Linked DNA regions of Sus scrofa. The protein of the gene in region 4 purifies or fractionates together with the protein of the main gene of each other region. This does not show direct contact. Links are inferred from orthologs where the notes say so. Each region holds a gene or a part of one and is shown on either strand. Other genes may lie near its edges. The genes, in order: KIAA1524, METTL9, PDS5B, SLC30A4, C2H19orf25 and FUT8.

Region 1 (3,500 bases), on a different chromosome or scaffold from region 4:
ACTAACCTGGCTATTGCACAAGAAGATTTGGGTAAGATCTAACATGTCTGTGGGAATTTGAAAGTATATTTTTTAAGCTGGGGGCCATGCGATGGTGGTGGGAGCATAGGCTTGGAAGATGGATTGCTATGTTAAAATGTTGGAATTTTATGATAGATTTTTTTGCTCTTTTCAAACTTTACAGAATATTGTTACTTTTGATATTAAAAGATCAAGTTTCAGTGATCAAATCTGCATCTAAATTTATTTAAATAAATGTTATAATAAGGGCTGATATTTAGTTGGTATGTACCAGGCAGAATCTCATTTATAATGGCTATCTATCACTCACCACAACTCCAGACTGAAGTTTCTCTATTAATTCCTCAATGTTCAATCCAGGAACTCTATCTTTCAAAACTGGAGGAGTTAAACATTTTACTGATGCTGGAAAACTGTGATTTAATGATTGCAAAGGCATTCTTCTGGGCATATGTTCTGTTTCCTGTTGCCTATAGGCATTGTTTGCTGCTATACTTTCTCCAAGTCTGAATTGGAATTAAAATCAAAAAAAAAAGAGAGAGAGAAATAATTATATAAAAATAGAGCAAAAGGCAGAGTTAGTACAGGGACTAACTAATGATGGGACCCATAATTTAGAATGGGTCTTTTTTGGGAATATAAGTCTTCAAATATTTCTGAAATAATCTTGGAATCTATGATGAAGCAGGATTTGGGGAAATATCCTAAATTTGCCAGAGGAAACTCTTTTGTACTAACAACCCTTTACAATGACAATTCCACCTCTGGTTTGGAGGCACTAGAACTAGTTTATGAGGGTAGATTATTTATAAAAAAATTAAATACAAAGTTATTGGTGTCTTTCTTACCATGGGCAACATCACTTGGTCTGACCTTTTCTTTCACCCTTTTCTTTTCTCACTCAGGATGGTCTCACCAACCTGACCTTCATTTTTACCATCTTGTTTCTGCCTCAGGGCCTTTGTACAAGTTGTTCATTTGCCTAGAACACTCTTCCCTCTAAATCTGCATAGCATAATCCTTATCATCAAGTCTCAGTTTAGATTCACTTCCTCAGGGCCTTCCAACCCTAGTAACAAGTGCATTATAAACCTTATTTTTTAAAAAACCTGTCTCTCAACTAGAATGCAAATCTCATGACAGAAGGCCGCCTGTCTAATTTACTGCAATATTCAAAATGCCTAGAAGAGAGCCTGGCACATAGCTGGGACTCACCAGTTATTTAAACATTTGTTAAATGTTTAAAAAACAAACTCCAAAATAAACCTAGCTATGCACCTACCTACCCACCCATCCAGTATATAAATTCACATTATTAAACTAGGATAATATAAACTGAGGCATAAATGGACATAATAGACATAAATGGATATCTGAGATAGTGTGCAAAGAGAAAATAACACAACACAAGTTATGATGGGGAGGGGATGGCAAAGACAGAGAGACACATGATAAGACTCCCACTTCAGCAAAGCTGAAGCTTTCCACTCTGACACCTGGGGATTTTGCTTCATGTCAGATTTCCACAGTAGATGCAAGCAAGCTACCACAAAATGAAACAGCTTCACAGACTCCTATTTTGCTTTGAGAAACACACTATTTGTCCATTCGCTTGTTAAAAAATATGATAAAATGAAGGGAATTGCAATTCATGGTCTCTAGGTCATGTTTTCCACAGTTCTTCATCCCTTAATTTATGATTACTTAAATGAGTCTGCTCAGTTAATAGAAGTAGCAAAGATTGGCAAACTTTTTCTTAAAGGACAGGGCAGTTAAGTATTTTAGGCTTGAGGGTCCATAGTCTTTGTTACGACTAACCAGCCCTAATGTTGTAGCATGAATGTAAACATACACAATACAGACAAAATGAAATGGGGATAGTGTGAGAAAAAGAATACATATATATGTATGACTGGGTCACTTTGCTGTACAGTAGAAATTGCCAGAACACTGTAAACCAGCTATAATGGAGAAAATAAAAATCATTAAAAAAACACATTCACACTCCCTTCAAAAAAAAGAAAAAGAAAATAAATGAATGGGTATGGTTTTGTTCCAATAAAATTTTATTTACAAAAACAAGCTCCTGTCTGCTGTCTAGAGTTTGCTGACCTGACATGAACAAATGTCTTACTGACTTACCAACTGTCTCAATTCATTCAAACCACCTTTGCAATTTCATTTATATAAACCACCTAATCTTATTAAAATTAGAGCGGAACACTACTAGACATTTTGTCAACCTTTCAGTTTACAGAGAGCTCCAAATCTGAATTTTTTTCAAACCTAACTGCAAATATTTTCTTAATGTTTGAAAATGAGTATAGCAGACAATTCTGCTTGACTATTATTTATTCCACCTTCAGATAATAAGAACATTTTCTTTAGGAATCCCTTCCTTGGCAAATGACCCAGATCTGGTCAATGGGAATGATGCTAGACTTATCACTAGACTTATCACTTAAACAATTGGGAAAGAAAAGCACTTTCTATGGAGAAACTAAACTGGCAGGATTACGATTAGTCTGGAAGCTACAACAATAAGAGAGGTGTTCAGACAGAGAGGTGTAACATCTGGATAACATATTTAATCACTTGGATGGATCTAGCTATTCCCTAAAAGACTTTACATGTGGTCTTTTGAGTTGTTGGAATCAAACTTTTTAAATTGAAATTTTTTTTCACTTGAAAAATTATTATTACAATGAAGTCTTCAATTCACTGATTTTCCAATCTCTCTCTGCTGAAGACTATTAGGGAAACACAGCAAACACTCCAGCACCACAAGAGATACATTGCCACTGACTATAACTCACACTAAGGCCGGAAAATCTGGCAGTGGAGCAGCTTCCAATAATATTCCCAATCCAGACTGTACTTGTTCTCTATTATCTGATGTTAAAGCAAAAGCCAAAGGAGTAATCAGGCGAGGATCCTAAGCAAATCAGAAACCAAAAAATAAAAAGCAGAAAGGATAATGTTAGGTCTTTTAGAGTAAGGTGAGTAAACAGATCTAAATCATTACATAATTCTAGGCAAGTTCTAAAGTCTTTCTACCTGATGTTTGAACATATTTACTAGCCTTTACTTCATTACAATTATCTATAAAATCAATATTAATGTTAGCTTAAAAAATCTGGCAAAGATTTTTGAATGCTTTTGGTGCCTACTAAATGCATGTCAAATATTTTTGATTAAATTAATATTTAATACTTGATTAAACAGCATTCACAACTGACTGATGTTCTGAATTATTGTTTTATTTTTCTAGCTACCATTTAAAAGAAAATTGGGCTATAAAAATGGCTAGTCATTTCCAAATTAAAGTTAAAAAAAGGTAAAATTCAAATTAATTCAATAAAAAATTTTAATGTAGTGAATGAAACAACTATACTTAAAGTATAACTCCTTCATGTCAGTAAGTATTTTACATTAGTACTTAGGCCCAAATCATCTATTCTGAAAAAAAAAATTATTGA
Region 2 (3,995 bases), on a different chromosome or scaffold from region 4:
CATGGACAACACTGCCATAATGTGAACATATCAACGCAAAACAATGTCTGGGTTGATTATTCGAAGGAAAAAGGCCAATGTCCCCCACCACCTCCCAATATTCAGAAAGCACCAGATTAGTTTTCACTTTGGAGAAATTAGCTGCTAAATAATGAAGTGCAACTGGTTAAAACATACACACATTTGAATATCTTAGAAGCATAAGGAAGTAAATGAGGTATCTGCAAGCAGTATTAGTATTCCTTAGAAGCTGACAGATTCCGCTTTAAAAAGATACACAATTACAAAGTATCCTCTACAAACATCAGATGATATCACTTATATGCGGAACCTAAAAAACAAAACAAAACAAAACAAAAAGATACAAATGAACTTATTTGCGAAAGAGTCACAGACTTTGAAAAACTAATGGTTACCAAAGGGGACAAGTAGTGGGAAAGGAGGGATGGACTGGGGGTGGGGGACTGGCATATGCCAATTACATGCCAATGCCATATACATATTCCATGTACTGAGGTACACGGAATGATTGGCCGACAGGGACCTGCTGTATAGCATAGGGAACTCTACCCAATATTCTGTGATCACCTATGTGGAAAAAGAATCTGAAACAGAATGGATGTGTGTATATGTATAACTGAATCATTCTGTTGTATAGCAGAAATTATCACTACCTTGTAAATCAACTATACTTCAGTAAAACTTTAAAAACAAACAAAAAAAGTATCATCTGTTAGAGGATATTCTGAGGCTATGTCAACAGCTATAATTCTACCTAGGATCCACAAAAATCAGGTTCCTTAGTTTCTCAGTTTTTAAATTAGTCCATTTCTTTTTTGAGCACTGAAAGTATCAGGTGTACTGCAATAGAGATAATCACAAGTGTTGTAATAAACGCCTACAGCCAAAAGATTTGACCGTAATTCCATATCAATGGAAAGGTCTTCTTTTCATCCTACCCAGAACCTTAGGTCCATCGACTGTTGGAAATGACATTTCTATTTATTATTTTACACCATTATCCATGTTCCTTATGGATATGGGACATTTTGGTTAACTACAGTGTCAGTATAGCCCAACTCTAAAAATGACTAATTACTCTATAGCCAAGAATGTGGTTTTACAAGTTAAGATCACCTACTAACTTTAAGGACACTCCGAACAATATCATAGGAGTGATTACCTAACAAAGTACAAGAGCTGTGGGATTACAAAAGAAGAAGAAAAAAAAAGTATGTTTTCCTTTAAAAATAGAAAAAGAGCCACCATAAATATTTAATAAATAAAAACTAGATACTATTTTTCTGAATGAATTGCTCTGTCTCCTAAGATCATTCTCTAGTTTCATGAAAACACATCAAAACAACCTGGGTGTTGCTCTCTGAACACCTGGTATATTAAGAAAAGTAACACAGGAAAACGAGAAAGCTATGAAAATGATGAGACACAAGATGGAATAATTAGCTACTGCTCTCTGAGAAGCCAACATGTACTATAAATGTTGGCTATGATATGCCAACACTCTGGCAGAGTTCAAAAGCCTCTTTTCAATGAATGAAATGTTAACCGCAAACGACATTATGGTCAGATAGGACCTCCACAGGCTTCAGTGGCACAAACCTAAGCTAATGAAGACTACCCAGCCGGCCACATCGCATCATTCCACGATCCAGAACCATAACTCATTAAAAAAAAACAAAAAACAAAAACACTCTTGCCCAGTTCTCTTTTAACAAAACCCTTCTAGTAAATGCTCGCACCATCTTCGTTCCTATCGCATCTCGCCAGTCAGACACCAACACCCAAGTTTAAAGGAGATCTCCCTTAGGGAAGGTTCCATAGGACAAGAGTGACGACGACCTGTCAAACGCATTTTTTTAAAGGCAGAGGGAAAATGTCACCCGAAGGAGCCAGAGAGTTAAATGGCTCACGACGCACGGTTACATTTCTTTATGACCCTTTGTACGTTCAGAGATTCAACCAGACAAAAAGAGGGACCGGCTTTTCGGTTGGATTCTCAGGGGTAATGAAGGCCGTCCGGGGTAATGGGTTTGATCCGGTTATTTAGATCTCAGGCCCCGGTGCCAGGTGGGTCCCCGTCACCACGCGCTGGCCCGAAAGTTCCTCGGTCCCGCTCCGGGGAGCCGACGCCGAGGTGGCCGAGCGCCTGCAATCACTGCCCGGGACCCGGGAACAATGTGGGGTTCCGGGGCGCCCATGCCTGGGCGGGGGAGGGACCCGGGAGGCCGTCGTCCGCCGCGCCGCGGAACAAAAGGCACCGCTGGGCCTGGACCCGGCGTCCGGCGGGGAAGACGCGGGGGAAACTTTGTGGGGCGCTGGGGCGAGGCCCGGGGGCCCCTTCGCCACGACGCCCGGCACAATAGCCCGGCCGAGCGCGGGAAGGCCGGCCGCCACGCCCCCGCCCCGCCGGGCCCGGGTTCGGCCGCGTACCTGGTGGTTGTCCTTCCTGCCACCCGCGGCCGCCGCCGGCCCGCCCGGGCCGCTCGTCATGTTCACGTACAGGGAGCGGGTGAGAGGGCTCCGCAGCGTCCACATCCTCCTCGCCAGCCACACGGACGCCAGGCTCAGGCACAGCCAGCCCACGAACAGTCTCATCGGGGGCCGCGGCCGCTCGCTCCGATCACCGCCGGCGCCGGGGCGAGGAGGACGTGCCGCCGCCTCCAGCCGCAGCTGCCGCTGCCCGGGCTCGAGCCATCGCGCCCAACTTGCCCATCCAGCCCCTTTTAGGGCCGAGGCGGGGGGCGGGGGTGGGGAAGAGCGGGCGGTGCGCAGCCTTCTCGCCTCCCCCTTCCTCTCCGCCCGCGGAACGCCGCCGCCGCGGGCGCCAGTTTCCACACGGACCACGTACGCGCTGCTGCGGCGCGCCCCCTCCGGAGCACGCTCCCTCCGCCCCATGGGCTGTCCGCCCGGGAGGCGGGACAAAGGGAGCGCGCTCCCGCCTCCCGTCTGGTGTCGGCTTGTAATGGCGGAAACGGTTTTAATATGTTTAGGCCAGGGGAGATCGTTTCCAAAGGCGGTAACTGAGGCCTCCCCATCCCTCCAAGGTAGTGTCCGTAGTTCTTCTGGCCTTTCCTCCCCTGAGTCTTTGCTCTGAGCCCCTCATCCAGCCCCCTGCGGGTCTTTCACCTGGTTGTGCAGATTGACCCAGGCGGCGAGCCTCCTCCCTTTCGTATATTCAGACACTCGGACCAAGTATTCGCCAGAGACGGAGACTGTCAGTTCGTAACTATTTCTGGCTCAGTTGCGTGGCTTCCTATTTACATTTAGAGCCGACCAGCCAGGCCCCCACCCCCAGGATCTCCACCCTGCCAAGCGAATGGGCATCTAGAGGGGAAGGGCTACCTCCAACCCTTCACCACCTCCCCGCCCAGTCCCCCAGGCCTGGCAAGTTGCTGGCTACTGTTCCTAAGAGGCATCAGCGAAAGCTCTGCCTTTGTTGGAAGTTCCTGCAGCTGGGACACCTGCACGTAATATTTTGGTGTGTTAATGACTCTGTCCAAGAACGAAGACCCCAAATTAAGAGTCCCTGGATGCTTGTTTCCTTGAACTAACGGAAGTCAGACCCAACACTCCTTAAAGCCAGCTAAGCTTTAGGAGCAATATTTACCCAGATGTTTCTTTGATCATTTATAGCACGGGAAGACCTAGCAACGTTTCAAAACTGAAGGGTTACACTGTGTTCCTGTGTCTGAAGTTCTTCCTGCTGCCACCTAAGCTACAAGTGAGTGACCTATTTCATGGGCCCTCTCGCTTTAACACCTTTCTAGGTTCGTTTAGAAAATGCTTTTAATTTAACTGCACTAGAAATCATGTAAATACACTTTATCTTCGTTCAAACAAAAGCAATAGACCTTTCTGGTAACTCCATTAGTGAACTTCAGAGATTGTCTTTTAACAGTGGCTGTGGTGATCCACTGATGAGGGAAAAAACTGTCCCTTACCCACAGACATTTTTATTGGCTTCTGAGACTCAG
Region 3 (3,500 bases), on a different chromosome or scaffold from region 4:
AAACCAGAATGTTCAGGTAGGCATCGATTTTTATTCACTGACATGAAATGTTTTGAGTTACGTTACTTTAGAGATCAGAGCTTTGGTGTAATCCTTAAATATAAAGTATAATATTTCTTATGTACTCACCTCCCTTTTATTCTTCCAGGAGAGCTTGGATTTGAGCTGCTGCTTGCATTGCTTACAGTTTCCATTCGTGATGATTTTGTCTGAGATTGTTTGCCTGCTGATGAAAGCGGCTTATTAACAGCTCCTAGAACATTGGTTGTTTTAGGCTGAAATGAAAAATGCATATCTCTTTCTATTTGATTAGAACCAAAAGAAATTTAGATACAAAGAATCATAAATAACATCTGTCAAAGAATTTACATATACAAATCCATGAAAAATCTGCCTACTCTTAAGCAAAATAAGGATTATAGATTGAATATCACCTGAACAAATAAACTATATAAACAGAGTAACAGTTAAGTTTCTTAGTTATGTGCAGGAAAAGGTTTACATAGAAAGTAAGGACAAATAAAATGCACAGTCAACAATGAAAACTGGTAATCACAGACTCTTGCTACAAAGGAAGGACATAAGGTATTTTTACTTTAATATTTTTATCTTAATATTACAGGATATTTAAGAATCACGGTCTCCAGGGTTTTATTGTAAGGTAAAAAGTAAGTTCTGTATCTCAGTTTGCATCTATATAGAAAATATTTCTTCTTAGTAAATGGAGGATATCTAATACTTCTATTTTCTTTTGACACACCAATTTTTAAAGAAATGCAAAACAATATCATTATGTTAACAGCCACACTAAAAAAAACTACCACATAAAAATTAAAACAATTTTCAAAACATACTTTTCCAGGAGTAAAAAACGATTTCATTTCTGGAGGCAGATAATTTTTGGTGTTACTGAAGTTCTACGAGCAAGGGAAAAAAGACATAGTCAAGGAATACTGAAACACTGTCTCTATCAGGTGATTCAAGCTAACAAAGCACAGAGCAGCTTTTGTTTTAAAGTATGTTATAAAATACATATTTATTTAAACTAAAAAATCAGTTGCAACACAAAATTTCAGTCGGTGATTTTAAATGCTATAATAAGTGTGAACTAACCTCATACTAACTCTAGTATAAATACAACACATCTGAGCTCTAACACACTAGAGTTCCAAGAATATATCAGCAAACAAATGCTTCTATAATAATGCTCTCCAGGGAACAGGACACATATACTCCTGTTACCTTCATCACAGAAAGGTGAATGCTCAGAAGCAGACAGTCTCTTTTATTGGGTGAACCTAACTGGCCCATTCCGATTTGTAAGCACTGGTAAGTAGTGACTGTTTCGTTACTCTCAGTCCCTTAATAGGCTTAGATGCACTATGAATCTCTATTCTAAAAGACATTTTTTGGTATCATACAATACTTGAGTTTTCCAAGAGTGGTTTGGGAACATTCCTGAAGTGTTTCCAGGGTCTTGCGACTGTTCCAGCACTAGTTCTCTGCTTGCTTCCTCCTACCAGTTACAAATCTCCATCAAGAACCTATTAACTTCAAATCACACCAGCATTCTCCTTCCCTTTTTAGATCAATGGCCACTAACCAATATTTACAGGCTTTAATCACACTTTTGCCTGTGCTCTTAGACTGACATAAAACTTGCAACACAAACTCTAGAGCATCCCAATTCAACTCTGAAGCTTATCTGTGTCCTCCAGTTTGGCCCCTATGCTGGTCTTGAACCACACTGTTAAGATTCACCGCGACCTTTCCATGACATTAGGAGTGGGCCAACTCTTGATACTGATCCTTCCTGATCTTCCCACAACCTAGGGGTGAGAACACGTTTTATTTCAACTTACACAAACAAATTCTTAAAAAACTACCTTGTCAGGTTGGGTGAAAAAACGAGCTGGCAGTACTGGGTCTTTAGGAGATTCCAAACTATATGTGGTGCTTTTTGACATGATGATATTCATGGCAACATCACACACAGTATACAGTTTCTGCAATGGTATTAAAAAAAATTTAGGTACTTAAGTTGGCATCCCAGACTCTGTGAATTAGGAGTAATTCTGGAACATGCTTAATCTGTTATTATTATTAGTTACTAGTAACAGCATTGCTACTAATTTTATAGTAATTCTATATTAGTAAGTCTAATTACTACTGATACAAACACCATGCACTTTTTACTACTAATAGAAAAGAATGATGTCGTCCATAGAAGTTTCATACCCTATACTTCAATGTTTAAAACTGACATGGAATCATAATTATTGACAAAAAATTACATACTTCATTCATTTTTGCATCATCTGGTCCTTGAGCATCTTTTGTTTGTTTAATATTTTCTACCATCTTTCTGATAAATGCATGACTGTTATTTTCATTTTTAGCCATTAATATTTCCAGAACAAACCAAAGACATCTAAAAAAAATACCAGAAGAAAGAAAAAATTCATTATTAAATACAGATAAAATGATTTAAAATATAATAATGAACTCCAGGAGCAGAAAAAATTAAAAGCAAATAGCCATAAATCGATAGAGAAAAAGGGGTATGTCACATACATATCAGCAATGTGGGTATGAGTTCATAAGACCCCCTCTCAAAGTTTCACTAATTTTACTAAGAAGGCAGGTTAAAAAGAAACAGAAATGGTAGAGAGAATGAAGGGAGGCCTGCCTAAAGGAATAACTAAGGCACAGACAAAGTGAAGCCTCAGATATTCAAGCCTGACTGTAGTCCTGAATGGAAGTCATCAAGAAAATCTAAACTCCTTACTCAGTAGTTAAGAATCTTCATCAATAAATTAGAGGGAACAACTCTACATACTGTTTTTGCTTAAAACGGGGAAAAAAGAATAAAGTTTCAATATTTTAGTTTTAAAGTTAATTACATTAAACCTGGAAAAACTAAAGTGCTTTGTCACTATTATATAAATAGAATGGGACAGAGTGATATCACAGAAGAGAAAATGGAGAGGAAAGGGAAATGTGAAACAATGTATTATTCTAGAAGGGGGAAAAATAACCTTTGAGACCTCAGGCAGAGGCTGTTTTTCTGGAGTGGTTCTCTGATAGAATGGAGATCACTCTTGGCTGGAGTAGGGCAATGTACAAATCTAGCCAAAAATGTCTAGTAAATTCCAAAGAATATTTCATCTATTTTAAAAACCAGTGTTCTCTGAGAAAGAGGGGTAGCAGAAAGCTTTTCTTTGATATAATCACTCAACAGAGAATTCATTTTGGGAAAATTAACTGCTTATTTTTTAAAAATAGAAACCGTGGCAAAAAGAAGGTAAAAGCCTTTCTCTTGTCATGAGAAAGTTATCAGTAATTTAATTTTATTCTCTTAAAGCATCTCAAATGTTTAACTCTGGCCACAAAGTTCATCCTTCATTGAAACAGAAACAGGGTCTCATTCTTAAAGAACTCTGCTGGTCTTATAAGGACCTCTCTAAAAAATGTTATATTCCCCTATTCCACATCCAAGC
Region 4 (3,500 bases):
CATCTGTAATAACTGTGCCACTCTGGTGAGGGATGTTGACAATGGAAAGGCTATGCATGTGTGGGGGTAGGGTATGTACAGGAAATCTCTATATCTTCTGCTTAGCTTAGCTATGAACCTAAATCTCCTGTTAAAATTACAAAGCCCATTAAAAACATTTTTTTTAAACAAAATAGAGCTTACATCACATTAACTGCAACTCCAACAGCTGCGGTAATGAGCATTATATCTCCATTTATTTCATATTTCATATGGATAGTTCTTTGGACAGCTTCATATAGGAGGAATCCCATAAGTATATACACCAATAGCACACTAATCATAGCTGACAAGACCTCTGGAGGGAAAAATATAAAAAAAAAATATTTGTAGCATGGTTATTTCATACATACTAAATACTGTACAATTTCTTATTTATATCTTCTTTCCTCTAAGGAGATAAAAGTGCTATGTTATTTTTGTCATGTTATTTTTCTTATTTGAAAAGTGTTCAGTAGTTTGATTTGGATCTTTCACCCCACCACTGCCTACCTTCTCCTTATGTCTTTAGGGTCAAATTATATATATTTCCAGACCATACACTTGGTTAAAAAAAAAAACAAACCTGAAAAACTAAGGAAAAAAATTTGTAGCATACCTGAATGACCACAGACTAATTTGTAAGTGTAAAACCAATAAAAAAGTGAACAATGGGTAGAGGACACAAATACTAATACAAAGAAAATATGCAGAAAGGACCAATTTATGGAAATCAACCATAATACAAGAAATTCAAATAAGAATTCTCTTGCCCCTTACTAAATTGGCAAAGATTAAAAAGTTTGATAACAGCCAGAGTTAGCAAGGATATACTGGTGGAAGTATCAAATAGGCTATATTTTTGGAGAGCAGTTTGTAAAATTAATAAAAATTTAAAATGCATATATTCCTTAACTCTAGGAATCAATCCAATAGAAACACATCCATATGAATGCAAAGCCATCTATAAGGTTTTTCATTGTAGCTCTGTCTATAGGTATCCAAAAAGATCTGGAGGAGTGCCCATCCTGGCTCAGTGGTAACGAACCTGACTAGGATCCATGAGGATGCAGGTTCAATCCCTGGCCTTGCTCAGTGGGTTAAGGATCTGGCACTGCCATGAGCTGTGGTGTAGGTCACAGATGTGGCTTGGATCTGGCATGGCTGTGGCTATGGTTGGCAGCTATAATTCGAATTCGACCCCTAGCCTGGGAAATTCCATGTGCTGTGGGTGTGGCCCTGAAAAGCAAAGAAAAAAAAAAAGATCTGGAGACATCCTAAATGTCTACCAATGAGGAACTTAATGGCTAAATTATGGTATGCGCTTATAATGAGATATCATATAGTCATTTATATTTTTTTAAAAGAGGAAAAACAATCAGGCATATTGATAATCTAATCACAAGAAAGACAGATAAGAAAGTGTCATACCTGGGAAGTGAGACTAAGAGTTTAGGAAATTTATTTTTCACTTTATTCTTTCTGGTAATATTTGAAAAGTTTTAAGTTTTTATTATAAACTCATTTACCTTTAGAATAAAGAAAAACACATTCTTTTTAAGGCATGTAAGTATTCATGAATGCACTTCGACTCAGAAATTTTTCTTCCAGGAATGATATACACACTCATGCCAATTAAGTTGCATATTTACAAAATGCGGTATGTTCTGAAGCTATTCCTCAAGCATTGTATATACAGCAAACAACTGAAAACAACTGAAGTGATTAGTAGGGGCCTTGTAACATGGAATACCATGCAGCTATAAAAAATTAGGCTCTTTATGTTAATGATATGGAATAATCTCCAAAATACAGTGTTATGTGAAAAAAGAAAAGCACACAACAATATACATGGTATATTAGCATTTATGAGAAAAGAAGTAAGAGAATATATAATGGTCTATACATGCAAACTCTGGAAGAATATACAAAATACTGATAAAAACTGATTATTAGGAGAATGGGTGGCTAGGACACAGGAATGACTTTGCACTATATATTCTTTTACATCATGTGAATTTTCTACTTTGCAAGTATAAAGTAGAATAATTTTATATCTTTTCAAAATAACAGAAATAGGGCAATGTAAAGTATATTTTAAAATAATTAACATTATTATATAAAACTAGTATTGACAAAACAATAACAGCAAGAAAATAGATAATTTTTTTTCTTTAAAGAAACTAGATATTAAAGCTTTAAGTGTTAAAAGTTAAAACAGTCCGGGAAATTGTTATCTGGGTCAACTTATTGCTCAAAGGTTGGGGCAATTCAAGTATATTGGACTTTGATACATTTTTATTCCAGCTCATAAATTATAACAGAAAAATCATCTAGCAGAAATAAGCTGTTTCCTGAAGATGTTAATGTAGCCAAAACTCTAATAAAATTCTGAACATCAACAAAATAAATGTTAGAATAAGACCAAAAAACACAACTACTATTCAAAACCATGATTCATCTATTCCTGACATACTAATTATCATACTTTGAAGGAGACATAGGACTGAAGAAAACAGAAAAAAAAAACTGAAATACACAAAGTCCAGACTCTTAAGCCCCTTGAGAGTATGACCACATTAGATTCTACACCATGTTTACTGTAGCACTCACCAGAAAGACTGACATGTTGCATATACTCACATAGCTATGGATGAATCTGTAGAATGAAGTTAGGCTGAGCAAGGGAAGATAAATGGCTATATATATAATTAAAGAAAGTTAAGCTAAATGTGAACAATAGATTATTAACCAAATCCCCCAAAATAGGAAGAGGTTAAAAGAGAAGAATTAAGCCAAATATAAACCAAAAACACATGGTTTTGTCTTAAGTTATAACCACTGATGGCAAAATACACACATATAAATAAATACATAAATTAAAAATTTTTGAACTGGAAAATCTCATATACTAATGATAGACTCTTCATTTTACTCATGAAGAAAGATAAATTTAATTCTCTTTAATATTGATGTTTAAAAAATATCAATCCTTCTCAAACTGTTAAAAAATAATTTTTTTTTTTTGTCTTTGTAGGGCCACACCCGCGGCATACGGAGGTTCCCGGGCTAGGGGTCTAATCGGAGCTACAGCTGCTGGCCTACACCACAGCCACAGCACAGCAACGCCAGATCTGAGCCATGTCTATGACCTACACCACAGCTCACGGCAATGCCGGATCCTTAACCCACTGAGCGAGGCCAGGGATTGAACCCTCAACCTCATGGTTCCTAGTCGGATTTGTTTCCGCTGCGCCACGAAGGGAACTCCTAAAAAAAAATTTTAATCATCAAGGCTTAATCGTCAAGGCTGAAGCTAGCTAGCAATAGTTTTAAAGATGCCTTAATCAAATTTTAAATATGAAATTATAAAGCAATACACTTTATAAAGAGTAACAGCTATGCAACTTAATGACATTGAGATGTCATTGCTTATGAAAATCTAAAACCAATAATTAAAAAATTCTTTCAAAATTCCCTGT
Region 5 (4,045 bases), on a different chromosome or scaffold from region 4:
TGACATCCAGTTCCAGGTCCTCGCCGGCTTGCCGCAGCCCCTCACACTTCTGCTTCAGCTGGGCCCCCGCCTGACGCAGCCTCTGGTTTGTGGCCACGTAGTCCCGACTCTGCTGGTAGAGCTGCTCTCGCTGGGCCTCAGCATCTTCAGCCCTCCAAGAGGGGCCTGGGGAATCTGGGGACAGGACAAGGCAGCATCACTGCCCCCAGGTCACAGAGAGGACCCAATTCACCCCCCAAAGAAAGCAATGAACTGGAGGGGACAAGTCACAGAGGAGGCCTGACTTCACCATCCCACGGCCCTGCCTAGGGGTGAGCTCTATCCAGCTTCTGGTAACCCTGAAGCTGACAGCAGACTGGCTCTCATCTGTGCTCTCCGTGGCTGTGTGTGACACTCAGGGGGTCGGGAGGTGGCAAAGAGGGAACAGACATATATTTCCCAATGACTCTGCTTCCTAAAGGGTGTGCCAGGGGAGGAGCAGTGAGCACAAAAAAGCACAGATTTCAGGGCCACTTGGAGACATGTCAAGGTCCTCTCTGCTCTGCCTGGTCCCCTTGTCTATAAACAGGCCCAGAAACAGCAATTTGATTAAAAATCACTTTATTAGAGTTCCCATTGTGGCATAGCAGTAATGAGCCCAACTAGTATCCATGAGGGTGTGGGTTCAATCCCTGGCCTTGCTCAGTGGGTTAAGGATCCGGCGTTGCTGTGAGCTGTGGTGTAGGTCGCAGATGCTGCTCAGATCCCACATTACTGTGGCTGTGGCCTAGGCCAGCAGCTGCAAACTCCAATATAATCCCTAACCCAGGAATGTCCATTTGCTAAAGGTGCAGCCCTAAAAAAAGTAAAAATAAATCACTTTATCACCTGCTTTAGTAACAAGGTAGGACAGGCCAGACAGTGCACATGGAGGCCAAGGATGGTCCTTGACAGGAACACAGGCCAGCAGAGAAGCCCCCTCTCCCTAGAGTGAGCCCTGGCACTGCCCATTCCTCATGCCCTCAACCTCTGGATGCTGGGAACCTGGACCCATGATTTCTTTTTTTTTTCTTTCCTTTTTTTTTTTTTTGCTTTTTTAGGGCAGCACTCGTGGCATATGGAAGTTCCCAGGCTAGGGGTCGAATTGCAGCTGCAGCCGTCAACCTATGCCATAGCCACAGCAACACAGGATCCAAACCATCCATGTCTGCAACCTACAGGACAGATCACAGCAATGCTGGATCCTTAATCCACTGAGTGAGGCCATGGATCGAACCCGAACCCTCATGGATGCTAGTCAGCTTTGTTACCGCTGAGCCATGACGTGAACTCCTGGACCCGTGATTCATAAGGCTGGGATTCAAGCAGCCTCCGATGACCCAACTGTGAGCCAGGGATAAACATGGCTCCTGTTGCTTGGGCTGGCCTCTCAATCGCAACATTCCAGGTGATGGAAATATCCTCCAATGTAGCTATCCAATGCAGCAGCTGGCACAAGCGGGCTGCTGAGCACTTGAAATGTGGCCACGTGTAACAAAGAACTGAATTTTTTTCTTTTTTTTAATGGCTACACCAGTAGCATATGGAAGTTCCCAGGTCAGGGATCAGATCCAGGCTGCAGATGCTACTATGTCCTAGCTGTGGCAACGCAGAATCCTTTAACCCGCTGTGCTGGGCCAGGGATCAAACTTGAGTCTTGGCACTGCAGAGACACTGCCTATCCCACTGTGCCACAGCGAGAACTCCTATTCTCATCTTCTAGAGTCCCACAAGCCTTATACTGAATGTCAATACCCACTAGAATGGAGCAAGGCAGACACTTTAATCTTTTTGTTCGTTTTTCCACCTCAGTGCTTAGAACAGATTCCGGCCCATAATACGGTCTCAATGAAGGTTTGTTTCTTTGCTTTTTTTTTTTTTTTTAAGGGCCTCACTCGTGTCATATGGAAGTCCCCAGGTTAAGGGTCAAATCTGAGCTGCAGCTGCCCTCCTACCTCACAGCCACAGCAACACAGGATCCGAGCTGCGTCTGCGACCTACACTGCAACTCACAGCAACGCCGGATCCTTAATCCACTGAACGAGGCCAAGGATCAAACCGGCATCCTCATGGATCCTAGTTGGGTTCGTTAACCGCTGAACCACGAGGGGTCACTCCTCAATGAAAGTTTGTTGAATGAATAATGAACCTCATAGAGCAGAACACAAAATTCACCCTACAACTGTATGCCCAACCCTGAAGTCACGGATCTGCTTCCATCTTCTGAACAGGGGCGGACACACTTTTTCTGCAAAAGGCCAGATGCAAGTATTTTTGGCATTTCAGGGCTAGATAATTTCTGTCCTGAATACTGAACTCTGCCCTTCTGTCTTAAAAGCAGCCAGGTACTTTTCCCCACCCCTTCCTGCTGGCCTCTCGGGGTCGCCTCTCCCCTACCTTCAGGAGCCAGAGCGGTGAAGACGGGGTCCTCGGCAGGGGCCCCCCGCACGTCCTCCAAGATCTGCTCCACTGTAGGGGGCGCCGGGCGGGTGGGCAGCACCACGCGCTTCTTGGTCTTGGAGCTCATCCCGGTAGACCGGAGAAGGAAGTGTTGACGGGGTTGTTCCTCGCGCCCAACGAATTTCTACACACGCTCCAGTTCCCCGCTCCTGGCGAAGCCCTTCCTGCCCTGATCCTCCCAAGGGCTGAACAACACGGAGCCAGGGGCTTCAGCGTTCCCCTTCACTCAAGCCTCAGTTTCCCGCTGAGGCTGCTGCCGCCAGCGCCAACTCACCTGCACCGCCTCCGCGGCCGACCGACCATTTCCGCTTCCGGTCACGGTACAGTCCCACCCTACTCGCAAGAGACACACGCTTCCGGCCGGATCCTCCCCGGCTCGTGAAAGCCACGCCCCCTTAAAGAGGCCGCTCCCTCCAGGGTTCTGGTGCGATCGAAGAAACGATTGGACCAGAACCAGAAAGGATGAGACTTCAGCCTCTCCCCCGAGGGGTGGGCGCAGGGTCCTGTTCCCGGCTCTTCTCTCTGCCTAACAAAGCATCTGAAGCCCGGTTTTTTGCAAAAGGGAGACGCAGTCCTCAATCTACGTGGCTGTCGTAGCAACAAATTTACGGTGCAGTCTCTCACCACGTAGCGGGCCACCAGTTCCCAGCGAGGTGGCCAACCTCCGGGATCCCTCTCAAGGTTGCCTCTCCCTTGTCTAAAACCCCCTCCCTACCTGGGTGGGGCCGTAGCTCTGGAGGGTGATCTTGGCCCCCGCCTCTTGGCTAGGACTGAAGACCACCACAGAGCCCAAGGAGGGCGTTTTTAAACAGCTTTATATAATTTACATACTATAAAGTCCACCTGCTTAAAGTGTACAATTCAATGGTTTTGGAATATATATAGGAGAGAGACAGACAGAAAGACAGAGAAGTTGTGCAACCATCACCGCAGTCTAAAGCCAGAACATTCCCTCATCCTCATCACCCCATCCCTTAACAATCCACTATGTTTATGAATTTGTCTGTTCTTGGCGTATCACATTCATGGAATCACACAAGTGTGCCTTTCTCTGAGCATCGTGGTCTCAAGGTCCGTTCACATGGCAGCCAGTGTCGGTGCTTCTCTCTCTTTCATGACTGAGGGATGCTCCTGTGCATGAAGGGACCATATAATGTTTGCCCATCATCCAACAATGTTGTTTCCATATTTTGTCTGCTGTGAATCATGCTGCTGTGAACATTCTTACAAGTGTTGTGTGAATGTGTCTTTAGTTTTCTTGGGTACATACTTAGGAGCAGAACTGTTAGGTCATATGGTAACTCTATGTTTAACTGACTATGGACCTATTTCCCAAAGTGACTGCCCCAAGCTGGCATGTTTTGGGCATTTACTGTGTGCCAGGTGGGAAAATTACCTCTTGACCCTCAAGAGTATTTGGTGAGGCAGGTGCCAGACTTCATGCTGCTGCACAGGATGGCTACGGAGGCTCTGAGAAGGCAGCCAGGTGCCTCTGGACACGCAGCCTGGATTTGCAGAGCCAGACACCACTTCAGGCCTAACTCCAGAGCTGGGCAGAGCTGGGTGG
Region 6 (4,226 bases), on a different chromosome or scaffold from region 4:
AAAATCATAGTTCCAAATGTCTGAATTCCCATCTCATCCTTACTACTTTACTGTAGTGTTTATAAATCAAGTAATTAAGACTTTCTATACACTTTTTGTGGTACATATCACAAGGCTAGCAATGTACAGAGCCTTATTATACAGCCTAGGATTTTAGGTTAACTTTATTTTTAAAAAGAAGGAACATAATTTACTCCATTATTTCAATAATAACTCTACAGTGCTGAAATTTTCTCTCCTAAATGTTTTCTGTATGATGCACCCTTTAAAGAACTATGCATAAAAGCAAATTTAATCAAGAAAATAAATACATCTTTAAGCCCAAGAATAACAAGGGGGAGAAAAACTGTAATTAAACCTTGCCTGCAGTTTTTAAGGAGAGCCAAGCCAAAGTTCAATCAGTTACTTGTGATGAATTTAACTGTAAACTGATGGAAAACTTTTGTCGAAATTTGGTTGGTGTTACCTTGAGATCTGGGGTTTATACAGGAGATCCTGGCTTTCCCAGGTCCACTTTGAGGTGGCTTAAGTCAACTGTAATTCAAACATGGGAAGAAGAAACAATACCTCCCCTGCCTCTACCCAAGGCCTCAGTCAGAACTCCAATATACACCAAAACGCTAAAGCTCACCGGGGATAAACTCTAACCATGACACTGCCATTTAACTTAAGAAATACACTGCGTCTCTGGCATTCTGTGTGTTGAAGATTGCAAATCCCCACTGTGAGTGAAAAACAGGTACTGCACTCGTCAGCCCACTCACTCGGGCAGGACAAACCTCCTTTAACAAATAAATATGGACTCATTTAACCTAAATAAGTTTAGATACTCAAAAGCCGCCAGCTCATCATTTCCACATCAAATGAGGGTGCAGCGGCACTCACACCGTGAACTGCCCTGGCACCGGCCCCTCGCCGGGAGCGGATCTTTGCCCGGGTCCACTCCCCCATTTCCAGCCGGAGAACCCCTCAGAAAGCCCCTAACGCACAAACATGCTCCTCCCCACAGTCTGTGACTACAGGAAGCGACTTGCAGGAGAAAGGGCAGGTAGGTGTGGAGAGAAGACGGACACCTCCCACCCCCGCCCCCATCTCTTCTCTCCTCCGCTCTGGCTCCTACCCTAACCAAGGATGCGCGACACAGAGGGCAGCGGCCGTGCCGCTCCAAGTCCCGACCCGGGCGGCGGGCACCCCTAGTCCCCAGCCCGCACCCACCCCTGGGCCGGCAAAGGGACCCCCCAGAGCGTCCCGGGGGCTCCCTCCCCACTTTTCCAGGAACCGCTGGATAAGCAGCAGCAGTGGCGGCAACAGGCCTGGGGGTCGCCTGGGGGGAAAGGGGCAGCGACAGCGGGGAGAGGCACCTCCCCGAGCCTCCCGAGATCCCGCGCTTGCCCAGCCCCAGACCCCGAGTAGCTCGGGGCCCGGCTCCCAAACGCCCCCTTACCCGAGGCGGGAGCAGAGGCGGTCTCCGCCGTTTCCCAGTCGCCGCCGCCGCCGCCGCCACAGCCCTCAGCCGCAGCTGCCCAGAGCTGGGGGAGTGGGAGGGGTGGCTGGGTGGAGGATGCTACTCCCTACTGAAGGGAGAGGAAGAAACGGAAACAGGAACCGCCGCTGCCACTGCTTAACGGAGCCTTCGGCGCCACTGACTGAGGGAGAGCGCGAGGCGGCGCGAGCCAGGCAGTAGCTGACAGCGAAAGACCGAGAGCGAACCGGGTCCCGGGCGCGCGACCCAGAGCAGCGCCGGCCCCATTCCGGGAAGAGAATAAGGGGACGGGTCGGTCGGGGGCTGGGAGAGGGCGGCGGGGGGCGGGGGCCTGGAGCGGAGGGAACCTGGCTACTCTGGTTGTCCAGAGATAACACGCGCACGCGCCAGAGCCGCTCTGACAAGGAGCGCAGGAAGGGAAGCTTCAGCTAGCGCAAGCGTGCGCGCGCGAATGGGGGCGCGCGCCCCTCAGCGTTCCAGGCTTCTGGGAGGAGGCGCGCATGCGCCGGCCGCTGCCACCTACGGCGACCCCAGCATGTGCCAGGGCTTCTCCCCGCCCCCTTCTGGTCGCGTAACCGCAGCATCCACCACCCAGCTGAGCCCTGAGCCACAGCGGGACCCGGAGACATCCAGCCGGGCAGCGGCTGCGCGCTCAGGCGCTGGCTCCCACACAAGCGTAGGCCGCCCTCTACCGCCCGAAGGCCGGAGGCTGAAGGGGGCGCGAGTGGAGCCGGACTCTCCATTCCCTGAAGCTCCACCTCCGGCAATGCCGTATTCTCGACCGCTGGGGAAAGGACCAGCCCGTGCCAATTCAGCCCGCGGCCCTAAAGAGCACTGGTATCAGGAGCAGTCTGCTTGCTACTTTTTAGGAGTGATTGCTGCTGCTCAGCCCATGCCTGCAGCCCAGGTCTGGCCGCTCCACTGCAGCGTGCAGCATGATCTTAGAATAGCATCGTACCCGCATTCGACTAGTGAAGCCCTGTTTTATCCTATGAGAGCTGTGTTTCCACACTCGCCCGGCTGAAAAACAGCGCCCCCCCCTTAAGGGCTGAGTTCAGTGCCTGGCCTCTCCCCCCCACCGGCGGCTGCGACAGCCCCTCTGAGGCGGAAGTTACGGGAAAGAGAACATGGGGCGGGGGAGGGAGCTTTTCCCTAGGATGCTTCCTACCCGCTCGGACTCGGGAAATTCCTGGCGCCCGCGATGCAAAGCAGTGGGCCGAAGAGCTAGCCCAGACCAGCCCAAATGGCAAGCTGAGCCGGAGGACCTTCGCGCCGCCGGGGCACACAAAGTAGTCGCGGGCTGAAAGGGGGTGCCACAATGGCCAATCAGAGACGAGAGCCGCGTGAGTGGAGTGGGAGCCGACCAATCATAGGGCAGGAGGATGAGCTTCCCGTACCGAACTCTTCCTTGTAGCCTCCGGACCCAGATCCCAAGCCTAGGGTGCTATACCTCGGGAAAGTGAAATGGTGCCCTAAAGACAGAAGAATTATTTGTTTAGACTTGAGTATTTTTAAGTAAATGCCTTAAGTACATATCACAGAGCAAAGAGCGAAGGCCCTTTGGATGCCGACTATGAAAGGATCACTGAAAAGAGATTTAAGAACAGTGGCCTGCCAAAACTGCAATCTGCCTAATAACGTTCATAAATTTACAATATTTACTGACACCTCTTTATGGGCCAGGAACTGTATTACAGAAGTACAATAAGATACTGCTGATTCAAAGAAGGAAAAAAGTTCCCTGTCCTCAAGAAGCTGTCTCTTCTGCTGGACCTTGTGACTGGTATTTATCATCAACCCTTTAAAGGAAAAGCGCCCTCGAAGTAGGCGTTTATGGCCATTCCTATGATTAACTCCCTGTAAGAAAAGAAATTTGAGAGAAAAGTAGAGTGACTTATCCAAGGTCACACAAAACCACCTCAGAGTTTGGGTGCAATCATTTATAACAGTCATTTATCGAATGCATGGTTGCTATCCTCCACGGAGGAGTTTTCTGCACTAAGCTTATAAAGTCAACAAAATTCTGCAATAAGGGCCACAAAGTTTAGTTCTTGGAAATGAACAAAAATTTGGGGCTTATGCCATAGTAAATAAAGGCCAAAGTCTTATAAAACTGTAAGTAATTTTTAGAAGTCATAGAGATGAGATGGATACTTAGTTTTTAGTTTAAAAGGCACTTTATAAAATATTTTAGCAAGCATGTGACTCAGCAGAAAAGAATTCGACTAGTATCTGTAGGGATGCGGGTTGGATCCCTGGCCCTGCTCAGCGGGTTAAGGATCCTGGGTTGCCATGAGCTGCGGTGTGTGTCGCAGAAGCAGCTTGAAGCTCCTAATCCACCCCTAGTCTGGGAACTTCCATACACTGTAGGTGCACCACCTCCCGCCCCCTCCCCCCAAAAAAAGCTTACCTTGTATAATACTTTTAAGATGTCCAATTTCAAAGCTTTACTTTACATTTGCCTCAAAATGTCTGGGTTTTTTTATGTGGCCTTCATTTTTCCTTTCCAAAAACCTAGGGATTGAAATATATTCTCTTCCTCCTTCTGCTAAAAAAAAAAAAAAAAAAAAAAAAAATCTGTCCGAAGAATGTCCAGAATTTAGTGTGCTTTTATAGGGAAGTATAATATATATCAAAATATCAAGTAACTTTGATATCTCTAAAATACACTCAAAAACCAATTCTGCAGCAATGCAGATTGTGTTGAGTCAGTGTGTGTCTCAGCCTCTGACAGAACACTGTT

The links.
Region 1: the proteins of SLC30A4 (region 4) and KIAA1524 purify together in Homo sapiens (affinity purification with mass spectrometry; 3 studies listed by BioGRID and IntAct, counting the BioPlex papers as one, with this or other methods). This does not show direct contact. The link is inferred for Sus scrofa from reciprocal best matches to the Homo sapiens genes SLC30A4 and CIP2A.
Region 2: the proteins of SLC30A4 (region 4) and METTL9 purify together in Homo sapiens (co-immunoprecipitation; 3 studies listed by BioGRID and IntAct, with this or other methods). This does not show direct contact. The link is inferred for Sus scrofa from reciprocal best matches to the Homo sapiens genes SLC30A4 and METTL9.
Region 3: the proteins of SLC30A4 (region 4) and PDS5B purify together in Homo sapiens (affinity purification with mass spectrometry; 3 studies listed by BioGRID and IntAct, counting the BioPlex papers as one, with this or other methods). This does not show direct contact. The link is inferred for Sus scrofa from reciprocal best matches to the Homo sapiens genes SLC30A4 and PDS5B.
Region 5: the proteins of SLC30A4 (region 4) and C2H19orf25 purify together in Homo sapiens (affinity purification with mass spectrometry; 3 studies listed by BioGRID and IntAct, counting the BioPlex papers as one, with this or other methods). This does not show direct contact. The link is inferred for Sus scrofa from reciprocal best matches to the Homo sapiens genes SLC30A4 and C19orf25.
Region 6: the proteins of SLC30A4 (region 4) and FUT8 purify together in Homo sapiens (co-immunoprecipitation; 3 studies listed by BioGRID and IntAct, with this or other methods). This does not show direct contact. The link is inferred for Sus scrofa from reciprocal best matches to the Homo sapiens genes SLC30A4 and FUT8.

Annotation. Positions count from the first base shown.
Region 1 is NC_010455.5:150,951,065-150,954,564, reverse strand, and holds part of KIAA1524 (protein CIP2A), read right to left. Parts: intron 2,957-3,500; coding exon 2,838-2,956; intron 528-2,837; coding exon 332-527; intron 1-331.
Region 2 is NC_010445.4:23,717,354-23,721,348, forward strand, and holds the start of METTL9 (methyltransferase-like protein 9 precursor), read right to left. Parts: upstream 2,801-3,995; 5' UTR 2,617-2,800; coding exon 2,452-2,616; intron 1-2,451. UniProt on the Homo sapiens protein: Protein-histidine N-methyltransferase that specifically catalyzes 1-methylhistidine (pros-methylhistidine) methylation of target proteins.
Region 3 is NC_010453.5:9,203,194-9,206,693, reverse strand, and holds part of PDS5B (sister chromatid cohesion protein PDS5 homolog B), read right to left. Parts: intron 2,432-3,500; coding exon 2,299-2,431; intron 2,007-2,298; coding exon 1,887-2,006; intron 1,830-1,886; exon of another isoform or gene 918-1,829; coding exon 855-917; intron 276-854; coding exon 130-275; intron 1-129. UniProt on the Homo sapiens protein: Regulator of sister chromatid cohesion in mitosis which may stabilize cohesin complex association with chromatin. May couple sister chromatid cohesion during mitosis to DNA replication.
Region 4 is NC_010443.5:126,254,358-126,257,857, reverse strand, and holds part of SLC30A4 (zinc transporter 4), read right to left. Parts: intron 338-3,500; coding exon 184-337; intron 1-183. UniProt on the Homo sapiens protein: Probable proton-coupled zinc ion antiporter mediating zinc import from cytoplasm potentially into the endocytic compartment. Controls zinc deposition in milk.
Region 5 is NC_010444.4:76,997,737-77,001,781, reverse strand, and holds the start of C2H19orf25 (UPF0449 protein C19orf25 homolog), read right to left. Parts: upstream 2,801-4,045; 5' UTR 2,546-2,800; coding exon 2,416-2,545; intron 175-2,415; coding exon 1-174.
Region 6 is NC_010449.5:89,394,211-89,398,436, reverse strand, and holds the start of FUT8 (alpha-(1,6)-fucosyltransferase), read right to left. Parts: upstream 2,801-4,226; 5' UTR 2,652-2,800; intron 2,579-2,651; exon of another isoform or gene 1,445-2,578; intron 1-1,444. UniProt on the Homo sapiens protein: Catalyzes the addition of fucose in alpha 1-6 linkage to the first GlcNAc residue, next to the peptide chains in N-glycans.